Macaca fascicularis: one gene and its partner. The protein of the gene in region 2 interacts with the protein of the main gene of each other region in a biochemical or structural test. Links are inferred from orthologs where the notes say so. Each region holds a gene or a part of one and is shown on either strand. Other genes may lie near its edges.

Evidence for each region. The genes of interacting proteins can lie anywhere in the genome.
Region 1: the proteins of PKP4 (region 2) and PDZD2 form a complex in vitro, tested with the Homo sapiens proteins (2 studies listed by BioGRID and IntAct, with this or other methods). The link is inferred for Macaca fascicularis from reciprocal best matches to the Homo sapiens genes PKP4 and PDZD2.

Annotation. Positions count from the first base shown.
Region 1 is NC_088380.1:32,238,281-32,242,026, reverse strand, and holds the start of PDZD2 (PDZ domain-containing protein 2), read right to left. Parts: upstream 2,428-3,746; 5' UTR 2,394-2,427; coding exon 1,840-2,393; intron 1-1,839.
Region 2 is NC_088386.1:54,134,981-54,138,626, forward strand, and holds part of PKP4 (plakophilin-4), read left to right. Parts: coding exon 1-53; intron 54-1,490; coding exon 1,491-1,682; intron 1,683-1,863; coding exon 1,864-2,037; intron 2,038-3,646. UniProt on the Homo sapiens protein: Plays a role as a regulator of Rho activity during cytokinesis. May play a role in junctional plaques.

The DNA of each region.
Region 1 (3,746 bases), on a different chromosome or scaffold from region 2:
ACAGGGCGTCTACTACATGCAGCCTGTGCACTGGTCTGCACCATAGTGCTCAGCAGGTTTCTCGCCCTTCTCCTGCTGGACGGACACTGACAGACTGACAGCAGCAAGGGAACGTCTTTCATCTAAGCATATCCTGGAACCTCAAAGCCTCCTCAGCCTCCAGCACAGCAAACCACAGGTATTCCAAAAATAAAATGATTGAAATGAATAGAGCAATTATCATGTTTCCTTAAATAGTAAACTGCCATAAAGTGCATGCAAAATCCATTTCAGTGATAGATTTAAAGTATAATTCAATATTTTTCCAGAAGCATATTAACTATGTCAAGGTAGGTGCATTTATATACTTTACATGGTTCTGATTCTTCCTCTCATAGCACCTGACAGCCCCCTACTCCTACACCTAACCCCCACAACACACACACACACTCACTCACTCACACCACTAGATGGTTATTATAGGAGCAGCAGCTCTGGACCCATCCTAATGGAAGAAGGAATTGATGAAGCCAGAACCACCACCTACAGCCAGGGGTGTGTTCTGAAACATTCTCTTCTGCCCCCACAAGCAGCACTCCCACTCCACACCTGCCAACCTGCACCTATCTGGCGGCCACCCAGAAGTCACAACCCACAAAAGCTGGCCCAGTAGAGATGCCAGGCCCCTAAAGCCCTCCAGTGTGGGAGACCCCACTAGAGAAGAGGCCCTGAAGGTCCAGGGGGTCTCTCTGCAAGGACAGATCAGGGCATCACTTACTGCAGCCACTCAGCAACCACTTCCAGTAGTTTCATTGCGATTTGTCAAGGCAAACATATCCACCTACCCTACCTTTGGTGGAGGCAAGAGGTTGGGCCAGCCAGCTGCAGAGGACAGACTCAGACTCAGCTCCATCCCCCAACACTGCCCAACCGCCAGTCCCAGGGCAGGTCTGGAGCTCTGGAATGCCCTCGTGCCTGCCATTCCAGTCTCTGCGACCAGCCCATGCCAGACCTTGTCCTCCTCCCACTCCAGTGTCCCTTATCAAGGTCTCTGCATAGATTTGGGCTGCCGAGGACAGCTTCTGGCAAATTCCTGCCAGGGGTCCTGGACCCTCCTGCTGCTCAATTCAGCCTTGCGCTTTCATGGATTTTCCAAATAGCGGGGACCACAGGCAGCTCAAAGACTTAAAACACAAACGCAAACCCGAGGGAGGGAGAGAGGAAGACAGGGAGGGGGAAACCAGGTTTTAGGAGAAACTCGACTTCAGAGAGAGGGCAGGATTTCCCTATCATTATGTTCCCCATCTCCCCGGCAGACGCCAATAACCGGCCCTAAGATGCCCTTGCTCTTTGCGCGCCCTCTGCACTCCCCCGCCCCGCGTCTAATGTCTCATCTGGGCAGAGAGGGGGCGAGAGATGAAACACGCCCGAGGTAGGATGGTCCCCAAGACATTACCTGAGGCCGGAGTACCTGAGTACCTCCGCTCCTGCCGGAAGAGGGGACCAGAAGACGGCCCAGGGATGGGGACCCGGGATGCGCGCCCGTGCAGGAGCTCCCGGCCCTGTCCTGGGTACAATGAGTCTCCGGGTGTCCCGCTGTCTCGGTCCCGCTCTGTCCAGCCCCCTCCCCTGCGCTGCGCTCTCCCCGTCCCCGGCCGGATGCTAGAGGAGTTTGCGCCGCCCAACGTGGGACCCCGGTTCGGCGTCCTCACTCCTCGCCCTGCTAGGGCTGGGATTCCCGCACCCAGATTTGTCGCTAAACTTTCCTGGGCACACACGGTCTCGGGGGTGCCCAGCCTCCCCCATCCCCTGCCCACCCGGAGCCGGCGCGTCCCGGCTGCAGCGGGACGGTCGCTTCACCTGCTCGCGGCTCGGCCGAGGCTCCCGCGGCTTCCTCGCACGTCCAGACCCAGGCGCCACCCGGCGGGTCCCCGCGCAGCTGCCGCCACCGCGGCCACCACCGGTGCCGCCGCCGCGCCTGCCCCGAGCTGCAAAGCCGCGGTTCGCCGGCAGCCGCGGGAGGCGCAATCCCGGTGCCCTGGGCTCGGCCTGCGGCTCCTCCGCTGCCTGCAGCCGCCGCCCCGCCGCGTCCCGCTGCCCTGGGCCGGCACGCACCGGCGCTGGAGTCCACTCCTCGCCGCGCTGCGCAAGGGATCCGCCGCGCCTCCGGGATGGGCGGGGATTCCCTCCCTCTGGTTGATTCGAGGGGCGGGAACTCCCTTCCCGGAGTGACAGGGACGGGGGGCGGGGATTCCCCTGCAGGAATAACAAGGTGGGCGGGGATTTCCCCGAGCGAGCCCCGTCGCGGGCAAGGAGTCTCTCTGGGTGAGCCAGGAGTCCTGGTGCGCCGGTTTCAGAAACCTGGGGATCTTGGGAGGAAGACATCCAGGGAGATGGCTGCTCCGAATCTCCATACAGGAGGGGCTTAGGGCGCCATCTAGGTGGAACAGAGCGAGCTAGGGGATGTGAAGTTGCCTCTGCATAGCATTTTACATAGCAAAAAGAAAAATGTCAATTGCCTTATCAAAGAATGGGGCGGAGAGGCCAGAGGAGATGGGAGAAGAGCTAACCACTCACCCGAAGCTACCCTTAGCCTCTGGTCCTTGGGATACCAAAGGTAATTTAGCACTGGTATGAGGATTTCGGGGAGAGGGGACCTCTTGGCACCTCAGAGCTGCTTAATCCCCCAGTTAAGCCCCTGGGGGAAATCCCATGGCCCTGGGGTGGTGGTTTTGGTCCCATGAGTACTAGCCACGAGCTCCTGCTGCGTGGACTTTGAGAGCTAATGCCAGCCGCCCTTGGCTGCCGTCCAGGTCACTCGAGGAACGGAGCCTCAGGCTTTTGGGATCCTTCATTCCGGTGGATTTTCAGGAAGGCCTTCAAATATTTTTGGTTCTTTTTTTTGTCATCCTTGTCATTCTGCCTACCACAGGGAGAGGATGGTAAGAACATAATAGGAAGACTGCACAGCTCTGCAAGTTAAGCTCTCTTAAGAGGAAAAAGCTGGTCTTTTTCAAGTGCTGGCAGATAAGAGTAAAAACGTACGAAAAATTACAAAACCGGGATAATGAATAGTTGAATAATGCTTTTGACATTTTCTGCAGAACAGTAATTGGAAATCTTTGCTTTCGGGGGGATGGGGATGGGACAGGGCAGGCCCCAGCTGCAGTTCTGCCCAGCAAGGCAATGACTCCGAAAAGCAGGCAGACATAAATCAACTGCACAGACCGGACAGAGCTGTCCCGCAACACCAGAGACCCGAGTGGTCCCAAGGCATTTGGAGATGGTAATGTCCTCAGGGGTTGGGGTGGAGAAGTTCTTGATTTCAGCTGTTCTTCAGCTTTTATAATTACCAGGCCACTGAGATCAATGCTTGCACAAATCCAAGCATCGTATATGACAAGCTGGGCACTCTCAGGCACTCAGAGCTTCTCTTCCTATGTGTAAATAGAGAAAACACCTATCCTGCAGGATTGCCAGAACTAGCAGTAACACAGTTGTTCAGCGCAGTACTTAGGAGGTGCTCAATGAAATGGTAACCATTGTCAATGAAAGGTATCATTGGGACACCACAAAAAATCCTTCTAGAAGGATCAAAGAGGGCTGGTGCTTTCTGTTTGTTTCACAGTCCCAGGCCCATCTTCCACCACTCTGTCCCTTGTTTTCTCAGCCTCGGTACCCAGCACATAGCTTGGGCCTACCTCCCTCAGCACCCATTAAAAGTTTGCTGAATCAATGAATATGCAAATAAATTTATCACTCAAACT
Region 2 (3,646 bases):
CGCTGTTGTATGTGATCCACACATGTGTGAACACATCTGATTACGACAGCAAGGTCAGTGCCGGCCTGGCTGCAGGAGGGCATGGTGGCAGGTTGCCATGGTGCCTGGTGCCACTATTTGCATGCCATTGGTTCTTTCTGACCTGTAGAGCCTGTCCTCCTCAGGAGGCCACTCTCCAGATCAAAGGGCAAGTCTCCAAAATTATAGGAGCAAGGACGTGGCAACTTAAGAAAATATCCTGAGAACCGTGAGAACAGAGTGGCTTGGTGTGGTAAAGGCTTTCTCTCTGGTTCTCCTAGGCTCATTCTCAGGGTGGTGCCCATGCTGCTATTTCCTCCAATTCTGCATCCCCACTAGAATCAGAGCCATCAGTACTTGAGTATCTACTGAATAAAAGTTCCTGGTTGAGGCACTGTAATCCCCCCAAACTCTCTGCCCTCTTGGCTGCAGTGCAGTCCACAGTCCCCACCCCCGGCACTAAGTGTTGCTGCACCTCTCTACACCCACTCCTGCTGCTGCCCTGTGGTTGGTCTGTCCCCAGCATGAGCCCCTTACCCTCTCCCTCCTGTGTCCGAGTGCAGGGCGTTCTGCTCATCATTTGTCAGCTGTGACGACCATCCAGGATCTTCCTGGGGACCGAGGAAAGTGGGAAGTACAGGAAAGAGAGACTGAAAGTGTCAGGACTTCCAAAGCGAGCCAGATACTTGGTGTCAGGATGGACTGGACTAGGAGAGGCCTTTGGAAGGTGTTGGATTGTAAGGGTGAGCCTGAGAGGAAAAAGGATGATAAGTGCCTGGGAAAAGAGAGAGGAATACAAGGGAACACTTTTTGTTTGAGCCTCATTGAACCAGGAGATCTGCAGATGAAATTGAGAGGAGTAAGCAAGTTGGAAAGGGAAGCTTGCTAGATAGGCAAATGCTGAACTTGGTTTTAGGCACTCAGTTAAATGACAGTTGGCCTCCCAATCAGAGGTGTGATAACAGTCTTTTAGGGAACAAAAGACCGTGTGCAGAAGGCAAATGTCAACAGGGAAAGACACCTCTGAACATGGCTCAAAAGAAGGGTGGAGTTGGGAGATTGAGAAGGAGGCAGACATGGAACTTGGGGATATGGTTGTCCCCAGGGAGGGAGTTGGGGCATCTGTTGTCATGCCAAGGATCTGCAGTAGTGAGAAGTGAGGCTCAGGTGTCTTGGGTGCAGCCTGCACGGCAGCAGCCCTGAGGAGAAACACTGGGCCGGAGCCTCATGCATTGCAGTCGGCATGAAGTCAGATCCTCAGCAGGACTGAGAAAGGCTCTGCATCCCGTCATCTGGGTATTCCACAAACACTCTAGAATCATAATTCCCTCTTCAGATTGTTTCAGGTTCCCAAAAATAAAAAGTAGTTCTTTCATATTTCCCATTTATTTCCTGTCTGCAGTGTTCAGTACAGAAGTGTTTTGCTCTAATGTGCTGAGTTGTTTTTAATTATATGCCATGCTGGGTTTCAGACAGTGGAGAACTGCGTGTGCACCCTGAGGAACCTGTCCTATCGGCTAGAGCTGGAGGTGCCCCAGGCCCGGTTACTGGGACTGAACGAATTGGATGACTTACTAGGAAAAGAGTCTCCCAGCAAAGACTCTGAGCCAAGCTGCTGGGGGAAGAAGAAGAAAAAGAAAAAGAGGACTCCGCAAGAAGATCAAGTTAGCATTTTATCTGATATGAGACTCACGTTTCATTTTTCTGGGAGTGAGGAATCACATATTTGGCAAGAAAATAAATTTTCTGCATAGCTATAGCTGAGTCCCACAAAGGTGAATGTTTTCAAGTATTGAAGATCATGTTCATTCTGCCTCCATTTAACGTGTGCTATTTGTCTTTCAGTGGGATGGAGTTGGTCCTATCCCAGGATTGTCAAAGTCCCCCAAAGGGGTTGAGATGCTGTGGCACCCATCGGTGGTAAAACCATATCTGACTCTTCTAGCAGAAAGTTCCAACCCAGCCACCTTGGAAGGCTCTGCCGGGTCTCTCCAGAACCTCTCTGCTGGCAACTGGAAGGTAGGATGACTTCCGCGTATCTACACTTCTTTCCATCTTTCCAAATTAACTTGAAATGTTACATGTATAAGTTCTGCCTCAGTCAGATCAGCCCTGATGATGAAATGGTCACAGTTACTTAGTTTGTCTGTGAAGGGGGTAAAGGGAAAAAAGGGAGACATGCAGTTGCTCTGGGGATCCAAAGATAAATACAAGTCCCTCACTGTGAGAAACAGAAGGCTAGTGAGAAAAATAGATGGTGCCAGCACAGTGTAGAAGCCACAGGATGTGTGTGTTGTGGGGTCCTGAAAGAAGACATCTAACCCAGCCACACAGTGTAAGGGAAGGTCAGGAAAAATGCGGAGTGAGGACATGGAGGAGATTTCCTGAAGGGGATGCTGCCCAGCAGAATCTCTAAGGATGAATGAAAGTAAGCCAGTAGAGGCTGAGGCTGCAGTGTAGAGGGAGCCATCCAGATAACAGGGACAATAGGAGGAAAGTATCGCGGTGCAGAGAAGACAGTGTGGGCCAGGACTACTGGCTGCCCTCTGGGGCCCAGTGTGGAGCCAGGCATCATGGATAGGCCTGAAGGCCAAATTTCAGGAGCTGAGTCCTAACCTGCACACAGGAGGGGCTACTGAAAGAGTCTGGGCAAATGAGTGACAGAGACGGGCTAATGTCATCACTGCTCACCCACTTACATGGCAGTGCAAAAGGTGGATTCAAGGAAGGGAGAGTTAGAAGCAGGGATTGCATTTGGGAGCCAGTGCAGCAGTACAAACAGGTGAGAGATCTTGAGTGGCAGAACAGAACACAGGTTGGGCAGTGCTGTGGGGAGGGATAGAGGACCTCACTCTGTTCCTCTCAGGTAGTTACAGACATGCCTGTGTCTAAGGTTTCTGCATCTCTTTGCAGATGTATGACTATAAAAACTGAAGACAGTTTCCTCTTGTTACCACTGTAAGCAAGTTCTCAGAACTTTCTAAATGTCCCCCAGCAACTTCCCAGACAGTCCTTGTCTAAGACATTTTCAACCTCTAGAAATTTCCTGACAGGTGTATTTTGTAGAGTTATTACAATGCTTGCTTTTGGCTACTTATCCCACCTTAACCCCCCAAAATGAGAATCTTTTGGTGATAGTGTTTTCAAGATAGTGAAAAGAATTGATAAACCTAGGTATGGTTTGTTTCATGCAAGTGGCCACTATGTTGAATATAGACCGATAACTATGGTCTAGTGCTAAGCCAGTATGGTGATTTTGTTGTGGCTCCTAGTTAAAGTGCCAGTGACTCCATGTGTAAGTGCTGGCTCTGAATCCAGGCAACTCTGCTTACCGTCTGGCAGCCTAGAGGCTCTGCCCACAGTTTCCACCTCCCTAAAATAAAGCGAATATTAATACCTGCCTTATAAGGTGGTTGTGAGGATTTAGTGAGATACTCCCAGCACATAGGTATTTATATAAACATTTATGTTGTAGAACAGCCTTCACCTTCAGCTTCTGTGACCAGAAGATTATTTGATGACACTAAAAAAGACAATAATTGAAATCGATGTGATTTGAGTTGTTTCGAAGTTCGTGTCTGGGATCATTTAGTGAGAGTTAGATGGCAAGCTCATTTAAAATATAAAC